Coturnix japonica: one gene and its partner. Each later gene encodes a partner of the first gene's protein in a complex. Links are inferred from orthologs where the notes say so. Each region holds a gene or a part of one and is shown on either strand. Other genes may lie near its edges.

Region 1 (6,747 bases):
CAATGAACTAGGTTCTGTCAAGGAAAGAATAGGTAACAGGGATGAGTTCAGCTGTTCTAAGATGTGAGTGAAAACCAACTGCTGCAGTGATTTTGGATATAAGGGCTTTCCCATCACTCTTCAAATCCTCTACAACATCTTTTCTTATATGTTCATCTTAATTCTCCATTACTAAAGTAGGTTTTTTCCCCGTGCACTTTTTCTAGGCCTCAGTTTTCACCTGTTTGAATTCCAGATCTTCCCCGGTGAGGGTGCTGTAGAATGGACATACGCACCAGTGCAGATGGGTAAATGTAAGAATCACTGCCTACAATCAAAGTGAAGTATACTTTAGCCAGAAAGATTGGGTGCTGTAATGTTGCTAAATGGAAAGAGGACAAACAGTCTCTCATAGATAGATAGTCTGTGTAATTTTACAGAGGATATGATTTGCTTTCTTGTTGGGTGACATTTCTTTTTTTTCTTTCTCTTTCTCTTTTTTTTTTTTTTTTTGAACAATGCCATTTATTCTTTATGTTTAACCCTCACTCCCTCTTAACGCTTCTTCTCCTCTGTCCCTCCATCCACGTTAGTGACATTTGTGGTGTCAGTCCGCTAATGCTGCAGAACCTACCACAGATGGCAGCCCACTACTAGCTTGTTATCCAACATTTCTTAATGAAAATTGCACAGACAACACAAAAGCAATTCTGGCTCACCCACTCTGATTTTTAATGTTCGGTCATGTTCTGGTCCTGAAATATGATTTCTGCTGATGTAAGAATTCCGCGTTGTGTTTGCACTGCCTGAAGCAACAATGCAATACAAAACTAACCTTCTAATCTTGTTTAAAACTGACAGCCAGACATATTTCATACAATCATGTGGCATCAACTTTACAATGTTCGTGTGGTTTGTTAGAGTTCATCTTCAGCACATTCTGACTTCTAACAAAAGTTGTAACTGGCAGTAGTTGTATTGTAACTATGTGCTCTATAAACATGGTAAGAGTTTAAAAGATCTTGCCATGATAATTTTAACACCATTCTCTTGTAAAAATGAATCTTTCTTGCTTACACAGACTTACTCTTCATTGTGACATAGACAAAAGAGATGGGTCTCCAAGAAAGAGGAATTGGAAATCAAGTGTGGGATTGGGTCTAGCAGTTAATGGACTATTTGTATCCACTTGGTTTAAACACTGTGCTCTCAAGGGCTGCGTTGATCTTCTCCACAATGTGTGAGCACAGGGTTACAGTTCTATTTCCGTGTTTGACATGGAAGAGTTTTCAATCAATTACATTTCAGTTATTTCAATTCTCAGACGTGTGTTTAAATTATCCCAGCTCTAATATATGTATTGTTGTAGTCATTTCTTTCCAGTCTTGTCAGGAGAACTGTCAGTTCACACCACTCAATCTTTCAGCAGAGCCACAAAAGGGCAGATAACTTGGTTAGCTCGTAGCTATCAAGAACTCTGTTAACATCAATCAGTATTAAGAAAAGAAGAAAAATAAGGATCTGTATCTCTAGATGAGAACTGAAGTACAAATCTGTTCAATTAGGCATGAAACTTATCACTGCATATTCTCATGCATTTATCAAGTCAACACTTAACTACATTCTTCAGAGCATCTGCATGTAGCTTTCACGAAGCTTTTAAAATCCTTTTCCCTCTCAATGGCTCACTGCACTTTATTGAAGTTAATATTTATAAAAGCGATTCAGAAGGAACACAAACATTTTCGTTTGCACCAGCTCTGTGGAAGAAGAGCACAAGATTCCTAAAGGAATTACAAAGCCTAAGAAACATGTGGAGACTAAAAGGGCGAGCAGAGCAGCTGCGGGAGAACAACGCTTAAGCTCCGTTCACCCGGCTTCCGATTGTGACCACCCTCCGCTCGGCTATAGCGCAACACGTGGATGCGGATAAGGCCACGGCTGCTCTCACCACCCCGCCTGGCAGAGCCCCCCGACGACCTCTTCAGCCCCAAGCCGGGGAGGGGCAGCACCGTGATTCCTCCCCCGCGCCCGCAGCCAGCGCAGAGAGGCGGCTCCCCGGGGTTCCCTTTTTTCTCTCCCGAGGTTTATTTCCCCGCTCTGTGCCGCCTCCGCCCCGCGGTAGCATTGCGCTACGGGGCGCTGTGTGCGGCAGCCGCCCCGCGTTGAGCCCCGAGCAGGGGCCGGGAGCTGACTCCAATGAGCGGGGATGTCGCACCCGGGCCGACAGAGACTCTGTGAGAATCATAAACCCATCACAACACTGAGATAGGGATCGATATGTTTTCTCTCCGGCAAGCGGGCGCTCTGTACCCGCTCAGTAGAAACTGCACGGGAAGTTTGAAGCGGGTGGGAGGAGGGCAGCATCCCTTCTCCGAACACTGCTCCCGGCTTCCACGCGTCCCGGCGAGCTCCAGCTCCGCCACAGGGGACGGCTCGGGGGAGGGCCGCACGTCAGCATCGGTGGGGCGGCGTCACAGAGCGCCCCGGGAGCGGCGGGCGGGGGTCCCGGGCGGGGCCGGCATCGCCGCGGCGGGCTGCGGCCGCGGTGGCGGCGGCGCGCCGCCTCGCCTCTCCTCTCCTCGCTTCGCTTCGCCTGGCCGCTCGCCGCCGCGGAGGGGCGGCGCTGCCTCCCCGTACTCCCCCGCCCGGCGCCCCGCTCCGTCTCCGGGAAGGGCGCGGGGAGCCCCTCGTTGCCCCTCGGCGCAGCGGAGGAGTTGAAGCCGGCGGCGGCAGATCGGTGTGATGCCGTGTTAGCCCCCGGAGGGAAGGAGCACGAGTGGCCGGGGCTGCGGCTGGCATCATGGGCACCGGGCTCGGGGGCGCGGCGGACGGGCTCCCTGCGCGCTCCTAGTGAGCCCGGAGATGTGCCGGCGCCCGGGGGAAATATTTTGGAAATAGCACGGAGCGGTCCGAGGAGGACGAGCGGGGACACCCCGTTTCACCAGCTGAGAGGAGGTCGCCCGGCGGTCGTGTACTGGCAAGTAAGAGCTCCTTTTCTTTCATGTTTTTATTTTAATATATATATGCATATATATTTTTTCCTCCCCGCATCTCGAGTGACTTCTTGCAGCTGTTGGTTGCCTGCACCGGGTTTGGAGTTCAGTCTCCCGGCAGGCTGGGCTGGGCTGCAGGGGAGCGCGGTCCCGCATCCCAAAGGTACGCGCTGCACCGCGGTGCCGGGGGAGCACTGGGTGCGGGGAGCCCGCTTACAGCTGCAACAAATGGTGACTTACAGGAATTAGTGTGAAATGCCTTTTCCTTTCTGCTGGGCTGTAACTCAATTGTAGGAGACTCTTAATTGCTTTCTGGCAGCGGCAGGCTGCGTGTGAGCGTTTCAGATCCTGTCAGGGATTAAGATAGCAAAGCTGGAGTTTTGATTTTGATGCTTTTAACTTTCTGGTGTCCTACCTGGGCATTTCCTCTGAGGTGCTTTTGCTGTGAGGATATGGTTTATTCGGTCTTGTTTGTTTGCTTGCTTTCACCCGTGGCTACCTATTATCGTACTTGGCAGTGCCATGAAACAGAAAGTTGACCGTGACATGTTCAGGATGCAGAGCATGGGCAGCAGGCAGGGGGCTAATTCTGCTCCTGGAGGAACTCCACAGGAACAGGCCCAGGAGTCTGTGATCTCCTGCTAAAACCTCAAAGAGCTCTGAACAGACCTGTCACGCTGCAGAGGACAAACCCTCCTGTTCACTGTTCAGCACAGATAGTGTTTAAGCTAACAACCTGCTTTCCCCTATCTACAAAGCACCTGCCTGTGGAATGCAGGGGATAGAGAAATGATTCCTGTGCCAATTTGGGAGCAGACAGAACTTCAGACTACGTTTAATTAAGTTTGCTGGTATTGATTTCTTTAGCATCTTCTTTCTGAGCCTGAAAACTACAATTCTGTACAGTGACCTTGATGCACGTTCTGTTCGAACACAGGAGTATCACAGAATAAAAGCAGTTATACAGATTTATAGTTCAGCTCTGACACTTCACTAAGAGCTCTGGCAGCGCCAGTTGAACGCAGTAGTTTCAGCAGAGGTATATGGTGTGTGTACAGGCTTGGAGAAATAGCTCACCCACAGGGTAGAAATAAGTTGTGGTCTTAGAAGCTCTTGCAGAAATGTCAGCATGCATGAAACATCTGAGGAGTTTGGGATATTTCTTTTTCTAATCAGAGAGATCTGTAGCAAAAGATGTTTGGGGGCAGTCTTGGAGCTCTTCAGGTTAAGGCACATTGCTTTGCTGACAGGAGCAGATCTTCTAATGGGCTGCAACAGATGTTTTTACATAGATGCTAAGCTAACTGGATTAAAAGCTGTTGACTTGCCAGTAACTAACTCGAGTTTATAGCAGAAAGATAAAGTAAGCCTTTCCGGTAACTGGACGGAGCTCCCTGTGGGTTAGAAGGCAGAAGGGAATGTCATTTGTTTCAGTGCAATTTCAGGATAGCTTTCCTGTGGTTTGTATTTCTAACTGCCTGAAGATACAGTGAAACACAATTAGAATAACTGTTGAAAGATATTGGGACACGAATCAATCCATTACTTTAAACAGCTTCTGCGTCATATCAACAAAGTACAATTTTTAACAAAGTGCTCTTCAGTTTTGTTGTAGTAATTCCTTCCTCTGTTGCAGAGTGGCAGGCTTTCACTAGGCATGTGCAAGGGAGAACACGAAACAGTGAAGAATGCACTGATCTGAATTAATTTGGGCTATGTAATGTAGTGGCGATTTCCACAATTAATATAATTAACTGCTTACAGTTGATTCTATAAATAAGTGGGTTTTAAAAATAGTGTCAGCTTTGTCACTCCTGATACAGATTATGGAGCCCTTTTATTTCTTTTCAGTTCTTCAAATTAATCAAACGCTATACTCGTTCTTTGCCTCAAGAGGAAGAAAACATAATTTACTGATATATCATTTGGCTTTTGCAGTATCTTGCCCAATAGCTATGAGATAATCTAATGAAGGTCCTCGTCACCGAATTAAAGAACATGCTGCTCTAGACTTTCACTTACAGAGAAATTATTGTTACATGGCTGAAGAACCAAGTTTTCACAGAATCTAGTAGAAAAAGGAAACCTTTCTTTTTATGCTGGGGACTTGAAAGGGGGAAGGTAGAACATGAGGTCTTTAAGGATAAAATTACAAAGCAGTGACTTCTAAGATACTGATCAAAACCCTTTATCTTCAGATATTTTCTTTATCTTTGATTTGGAACTTTTCCACATACTTCAGTTTAAATTATGTATAGTTCTTAATTTTAAAAACTAGAGAATGTCCATTGTACCATTTACTGTAAAGCTCTTTCAAGCCTTCTCTCTAATGTGCTTTATCACAGTTTGCTTGTACCTTTTTCAATTAGAGATTTCCAAAGTACAGCACGTTCAACTCTGTGGCAGGGATTTTTATTATAATGTTATGCAGATCTTTTTAATAGAGAGGATATTGACTTGATTCAGAGATTTCAGGTTAAGATATTACATTTCTTTCCTAATTTTTTCTCACCATATTTGCTCAGATGTGCTGTTTGGCTTGTCACGCATAACTTGCATCAACTGACAGAAAGCCCTGTAAGCAAAATTAAACATTATCAACAGTTCAGTAAGGTTTTGCTTGTCAGTCCAAAACAGATGACTATGTTTTTTTCTATGATTCTTAAATATATAAATATATTTATATTTATAAAATAGTTTCTTCTCAGTTCTTCACTCTGTATTTCTCAGAAAAGCACCATTTCTTCATGCTTGTAACTTAGCACTGGTCCTTGTGTCTGAGCCACCATGAACACTATCAGTATTCCTTACCAATAGCCATCTCCAGGTTTGCTTGCATGCACTGTTAAAAAGGTAAGGAGTTGTAGCAAAAAAATAAGTGTTAGATAAGTTTAACATGCAGTCTTTCATGGCCCTTCTCATGGCTGTGCTTTCGGTTAAGTTTTCCAGCAAGAGACCTGAATGTGGGTGGGTTGAATCCCAATTTAAGTCTGCTGCATCAACGTGTTCTTCTGACAGTCTGCTGTGACATTGGCTCAGCATGACTATACAGCTGACCTTCTGTATTTACCTTGAGTTTTACCTGCCACAACTAGAGGAGTCTGAAAGTCTTTTTGCCATTGCGGCTAACCTGATTTTTCTGCATTCCTGTTGCAGATCAGAGAAAGGAGAGAAAGCACTCATTAAAAAAAAATAGAATAGATTATACCTCAAATATACTGCTCTAATCTACACCAGGGGATGCAGTGGAGACACTGTTAGTGATATTTGCATATATAGTCATTTTCTAAAGGGAAGGACCTGTCCATCTTCAGAGACTGATATAATAGGTGACAGTATCTACTCACTACAAAGAAGAGGAGCTATGTAATAAGGAAGCAAAGCTTTTCTTCATTGTGCAGTTCTGATATGGTTGTCACTGTCATTTGCAACTATGAGCTTTATCTTCAGTAATTAGCTGAAGCTGGCCAAAAGGGGTGGCATAAAGATGTGTAATGAATCTAGAGGAACAGAAGCTAAGGGCTGGATTTTTTCTTGAGGACTTTCTGTTTTTGATTTACTAAGTAAATATTTTTGCCCTCAGAATAAATTTGGATGTTTCCAGGTTGGAACAAGACTTGAGGTAGAGCTCATCTCTGACACTGGTGCTTGCAGGGTTTATTTTAGTGGCCACTGCAGTTCCTGTGTGAGATATGGTTGAGGTTAAGGGCTGTGAAGGAGCTTACAGTTTCAGCTACCATGTACTCAACTGATTGTTGTCAATTGATAATCC
Region 2 (6,193 bases), on another chromosome or scaffold:
TTAATATTAATTTAATATGAATTCATCATTCATTAATTCATCATTTAACATTAATATTTAGTATTCTGAGTTTCTGTACAACAGAAAGGATTTGAAGGCTGCCTTTAATATCATGTGTATATTTTCTACAGAGGGGTATTCTTAGAGGAAAACCTTGGAGGGTAGAAGCAACACTGCTTTTGTTTTGAACCCAATTAGCTCAGTGGAAAACTGGTCTAATACTTGTATACAGTACAGCAAGCATGGAAAACAGCATTACAGAGCACTGACATCTGTGTACATGGTCAGTCTGGATGCTTTCCTGACACTTAAAGATACCACTGAAATAACACTCACCTCCAACTTCCCAGTTTTTGCAGCTAATTGTAGCGGTGTTAAACCCTCCTTGTTCTTCACTTTTTCCAAATTTCTGTCTTTACTTTTCAACAAGATCATATCGTACATCCTGATTACAAAGTCATTCTGAGTTTTAAAGTCCTCTGCAACAGTAACTAATGCGTGTAGGATGTTGTTTCCTCTGGAATCCTGAGAAGCAATGTTGGTCCTGGTGTTGTCCATTAACAGCTCGATTATATCTGGTTGATTGGTACACGCAGCTAAAGCCAGGGCAGTTTCACCTATAGAATTATAATATGAAATGTACTCACGTTTTACTACAAGCAATCAAACTATTATTATAGGAATGACCGTATTAAATATCTTCATATTTAAAAGCATGTATCAATATGGGTTATTTTTGGTTTAGCTCTTGGTTTAGAAAAGCCTTTAAAACAATTTGCCATTCAGCATTCAACAGCTGTTTTACCAGTACATCCAAGTGTTAATAATACATTGGACTCGAGCAAATCTCTTTACAAGAGGCACCGTGCCATTTTTCTGTCCTGAGATAAAAGTTCCATAATCGAGGTTCAGTGACAGCAATGATCCACACTTGCTTGCTTTCTATGCTGTCTTACTTTTCTGGGTATTCCTTCCTAACTGCTGCAGAAATCCCATTTCTACTTACCAAAATAAAAGCCTTCATGTTTATGTTTGGGGTTAAAAAAAATACCCTGGGCGTGAGCATTGACATCAGCTCCTTTTTCTATGAGGGTCTGAGTGATTTCAAATTGTCTTCTTTCAATGGCAATATTCAGAGCTGTCTGACCTGAAACAAGACACAGGTATTTAGCGTTAATTATTTGATGTTACCGATGGCATATTCAGCCACATGCCTGAAAATGGTCTCAGACAGCAGTACCTCTATATGCCTCTTCTGTGTACGCTGCATTGATAAACCTCTCCAAAATACCATTTTCTTCTGCAAAGGATAGCAGCATATTCACTACCTCATTTGTGTTGTTGTTTATGTTCAGTAGAGCTTTCATCAGACAAGTTTTCCCAGTATCTGAAGCTGTGAATTTTTTCATTAGATAATCTGTAAGAGTAAATGTTGGGATTAGATCACGGCATCCATCGTTATTTATTAAATGGATGGAAAATAGCTTGAATCTTTATTTGGAGAAGAACCTGAGGGATACACACCAACAGAAATTACTTGGTAAGCAGTTGCCCGTTCACTCTGTGTTTGAGCTATATGTACTTTGTGAGATGATACAGAGCTGTGCTGGTGGTTAGTAAGACAGCCAGTGTGTTTGCTTTCTTTTCCAGCTATTCCACCAGCACCGTAACTCCAGACAGATCCAAACGCTCTTTTCTTCCCTGCCTGCTCTGCCATGCTACACACCTCACAAACTGTGGCTGTACCACAACCAGACTGACTGCAGAATAAACAGACACATCAGCTTTGAGTCTCGTGCTGCAGAAGCCAGCTCAGGTATGGCTGTGGGAATACAGTGCACAGGGTAACATAAATAAGAGACAAATACCCCCCAGTGCTGCTTCAGAGGTAGCAAGGAAGCAGCTGATTAAATACACTTTCATTTAGAAATAAGAAACGACATCCATTTGACTGCAAACAAACGACTTCAGATTCACACACCAGTCACGGCTGCACTGAGGTATCTCCTGGCAGAACACACATGCAATGCCAGCAGAAGAGTCATCAGATAACTCCACAGCTCACCTGGCACAGTCATGCTTGTACAAACATTTGATCGCTCCTTCAGCTCTGCGAGCAGACCTTGCAATTCTTCAATATTCCCCTCAGAAACTGCCCGAAATATGTATTTTTTCAGCTTCTTCCGGGCTCTCGTCTGATCAGGTCCTTGTGCTGCGTTAGCACTGAATGATCAAAAACAATAATGAAATTGCTGAGTCGCTCTTCTTTATTTTCTGCATACGAGGAAAAGGAAACACAATAACATGCACCAGACCACACTGACTTGCCCCATTTCCACATGGGTGTCCCGGTATGGATCTCTCAATATGTTTCTGTACATTGCTTATTTGCTGAGAAAATGTTATTGAAAAAGCAAAGGTTACAGCTGCTTATTTCAAAGTTTAATTACTGAAGATCCAGAAAAGCATTTATACCTCATTTCTGGAAAGAAAAAGAAGAAAGCACAATTGGTAACATCTACACTATTGTAGATTTCAGCTGTAGAAAAGGCACTAAGAAATACTCCTCATCTCCACTCACCAACAACTGTCTACGTTAGGGCTGTATTCAGTCACGTCGTCCTGAAGAGACTGTGGGGAATCCATGTCTTCCCCATTTGCAGATGCACTGTAGGAATAAGAAAAGCATCACTGCTAAGACAGGAAGGTCCTGGAAGACATTGTGGCAAACTGCACTAAGAACCAGTCAGTGCCAGGATTGCCTGCTTCAAAGGAGAGGAAAATAGGAAGAGATGCACAGGATCTTATTATATTTACAAAGTCCTGTTTGTGTTTACTCTGCATTATTTCATTTGAAATCTTGAAGCTGCGGGATCTTTTTCTTCAGTGTTTACCACCTTTTGTGCAACATCTTCAGTGTTGCACCTTGAAATGCACCATCTTCCTCATGGACTTAATTTGTCCCCTACCACAAAGCAGGAGTTAAAGCAGTAATCCTGCACGGGTTGCACACAATGAATGTCATTTAAAGGTTTACTACATGATGCACTGCAGGCAACTCAAGAACATTCTGCAGCTGATTGGAATGGAGATTTCAGCTAAAAGAAACTAAAGCCTGGGCCCTATCTGCATATTTAGGTAATAAATTTAAAGGATTTCAGTGGCATTGGTATTATGGAATTTCTGTATGGCATTTCTAGACATTCCCAAGTACAGATCTCACAGCAGAATTGACCGACAGTCGTTTTTCTCACTTGTATTTTTGTTTTCTATGGGGTTTGGATTTGATGAACTCTCACAGGTCAATAAATTAGGGAGCCTGGATTCTGAGTTATTGGCAAGATGGATGTATGGACAGAATGCAAGGATTCAACATTGCTCTGCAGATATTTATTTGAAACAAAGCTGGAAGCTCAGGGTCCATTCTTATTCAGACCATCACTTCTCTGCAGAAAACCCAGTGACAAAGTGCATGTGCGGCTCATGCAGGTTTGTTCCTGAATGAGAAGGAAAAATTCGGGTACATTTCCTCTGATACAACAATAAAACCATCAACAATTGCAGGAAGCTGAGCAGTCACCTCTCAAACACAGAAACAATTGATAATTCTGAGCTTACTCTCCATTTGATTCATGTTTCCCTAATTCATAATTCTGGCATTCAGAACCATTTCATTTTTAAATATCTGGTGCATTCTACTCATCATTTTTCTCTACTCATTCAGCATAAATAACTGCCTTAAATATCTCAGACTCAATATCTACATGTTGTTCTGTTGTTAATGAACAGCAGAGCGAGGATGGCAGCACACAGAGCTGGGAACACGGCCTGCTAAATTCAACTGCTGTTTTTGCATCGGAAAATTGGGTGCGTGGAGTTTGTCCCCATCTATCACAAATAACAGATGCTTAGGAAAGAAAAGTTAGCATTGATTTTAAATGTATTCGTATTTGAGGCCTGATTTATTCAGTGTCAATGATAGAAGTATATACAGATAAATAACCCAGCAACAACTGAACTACAACAACAACAAATCTCTGTCCTTGAAGTGACCAAAATCTACATAAAACCATGTGAAATTTCAGCTCTAAGGAGGGAGAAGGAGCAGCTGCTGAGAATGAAATAGATACACTTGCAGAATGACTGTTGTACATGCATCAATAACTTACCATGGACGAATATTTGAATCCATTGGTTTGGAAAACACAGGGGGAGATGTATTATTTGGAGTCGCATTGCTTTCAAATCCTTCGATCTCCAGAAAAAAATGTGAACTGTTGAACATATTGCATTGAGAAGTTATTAGTAAAAAGATCAAATTCAACCATAAAGTGCAGAATTCTATACCTGTAAGTACCTGGAACAACACTGACAATATTTTCTGCCCTCATACCTGTCTAACAGAATGCTGGCTGCTTTTCCCTGGAAGGATCCCAGCCTCTGCCCTCAGTTGAAAACTTCCATGTTGGCAGATGGGCAAAAGATCCCGAGATATTTTTAGAGGGCACAACATCAGATCCTGACATGTCTGAACATCGACACCAGCAGCCCAGAAGGAGCCTCACTTCTGTGCCCACAGCTGAATGCAGCACCAGACACAGACGGATAAACATTCACACACACACACTTATGCTTCTTCATCTACTACCTTTAGTCCCTCTTTCTCCAGCCAGCAGCCATCACAGTAGATCACTCCAAACCCGTCAGCAGTGATAGACAGCAATCCAAGTGTTAATTTCACTCTGTGTAGCTGTTTAAACTCCACGACCTTTTAACATCTGAGATGTGTCAGCAGAGCATCCCTGCAATTACCTACACATGGGGTGCTCCTCAGAGTACAGGAAAAGTCTGGACAGAATGAGGATCACTGCCATCATTTCTGCCACACTCACAGCTGCTGTAAATCACTGTTGCTTCAATGGGATCTCAGCTTGGCAGAAAGACTATAGAGTGAAAATGCCCAGGATTCATGCTGCTTTCTGCATTCCCTGACTATAATGTGCAGGATCTGCCCCAACAGGAAAAAGCTGTTGGAGGCTACAGTGCATTTCCAGAAAGCCAGAAGTGCTGCTCTTCAGGCTCAGCTGGGCTGTCTCAGCTGCTCACACCAGGAGCGCTGTGCCGCAGGTTGGTATCTCTCCCAGCACTGTGTTCACAAGGAAGATTTTGGCATGCAGTAGTTGTACAGCAGCTATGAAGTGGTGCCTGTTTTGGAAACCAACATACCCACCCTATGCCAACATGTGGGTTATCTGGGGATACCACAAGGAGAATAAAAAGCAAGATCCACCAAGCAAAGCAAGTGGACAATTACCAAAAAATACCCAAGTGCTTACGTGGCCATGGTGCACACTGTCAGAAGCTCTGCCCACAGACATTATCAGGTTCTGACAATGCTGGCAGTGCTCCTCCCATCCTGTCTCTTGGTTTTCCTGTACACATATTGTTGGTACACTCAGACACCAGGGGCTTCAGGAATGGGAAGTAAATATATTTTCTTCAAGTATATACTGACAATACTTGTCAAAGTGAGAAATGCTACCCATGGAGCTGCACTGGATGCGCAGTGGCACCATACGCCAGAAGGAAAAGTTCTGAACCCACAGAAGTACAGCAGCTTAGAAACATGTAATTAATAGAACACGTTAAACCACTGCATTAAAATTCATGTGATCTTCGTTCCTTCTATTACAGGAATGTTGTTGGCCACACCCTGAGCTCTTGGTTGAGAGATGGCAAACCCCCAGGGTTACTGTTACTGATACCACAAAGCAGAATGGGAGTTAGGAGATTAAGTAATTAAGTGCAGTATTTGCCAGTATTTGTTTTAACTATAAAATCTTCCATGGAATCGCCCCTTTTTGCAGTACCAGCTGCATTATGAGCTCTTCAGACACCCCACCGACCCCTTCGACAAGCAAAGTGAAATAATTCAAACAAAGAGTTTCTCTATTTGAATATAGCACTGGAAGGAGAAATTGGGCCAACCAGGCAACGGGTCTCAAATAACTTCCAACAGCATTTCTGTAGAGAAAGTGATTCTTCTGATTATTAAGAAATTATAAATGTTAGAACAGCCACAATTGCCTGGACCTTCACGGGTTGCTATAATAGCTAATAATTAGCAAGAGTGAAAAGTTTATGAATGAAATTCATCCTCAGTCTGCAGTAACTTAAGTGATTTCAATAACAC

What was found.
Region 2: the proteins of SNTG1 (region 1) and TRPV3 are in contact, whole or in part, in a crystal structure (PDB 7QQN), measured with the Homo sapiens proteins. The link is inferred for Coturnix japonica from reciprocal best matches to the Homo sapiens genes SNTG1 and TRPV3. Residues at the interface, in NP_001274742.1 of Homo sapiens: Arg62, Gly66, Gly67, Phe68, Gly69, Leu70, Ser71, Ile72, Lys73, Gly74, His78, Ser85, Lys86, His118, Glu119, Val122, Arg126; in NP_659505.1 of Homo sapiens: Pro786, Glu787, Thr788, Ser789, Val790.

The regions. Positions count from the first base shown.
Region 1 is NC_029517.1:98,330,084-98,336,830, forward strand, and holds the start of SNTG1 (gamma-1-syntrophin), read left to right. Parts: upstream 1-2,533; 5' UTR 2,534-2,963; intron 2,964-6,747. UniProt on the Homo sapiens protein: Adapter protein that binds to and probably organizes the subcellular localization of a variety of proteins. May link various receptors to the actin cytoskeleton and the dystrophin glycoprotein complex.
Region 2 is NC_029534.1:5,449,269-5,455,461, reverse strand, and holds part of TRPV3 (transient receptor potential cation channel subfamily V member 3), read right to left. Parts: exon of another isoform or gene 4,275-6,193; coding exon 4,170-4,274; intron 2,670-4,169; exon of another isoform or gene 2,669-2,669; coding exon 2,582-2,668; intron 2,483-2,581; exon of another isoform or gene 2,481-2,482; coding exon of another isoform or gene 2,476-2,480; intron 2,224-2,475; coding exon 2,066-2,223; intron 1,418-2,065; coding exon 1,241-1,417; intron 1,148-1,240; coding exon 1,007-1,147; intron 618-1,006; coding exon 337-617; intron 1-336. UniProt on the Homo sapiens protein: Non-selective calcium permeant cation channel. It is activated by innocuous (warm) temperatures and shows an increased response at noxious temperatures greater than 39 degrees Celsius. Activation exhibits an outward rectification.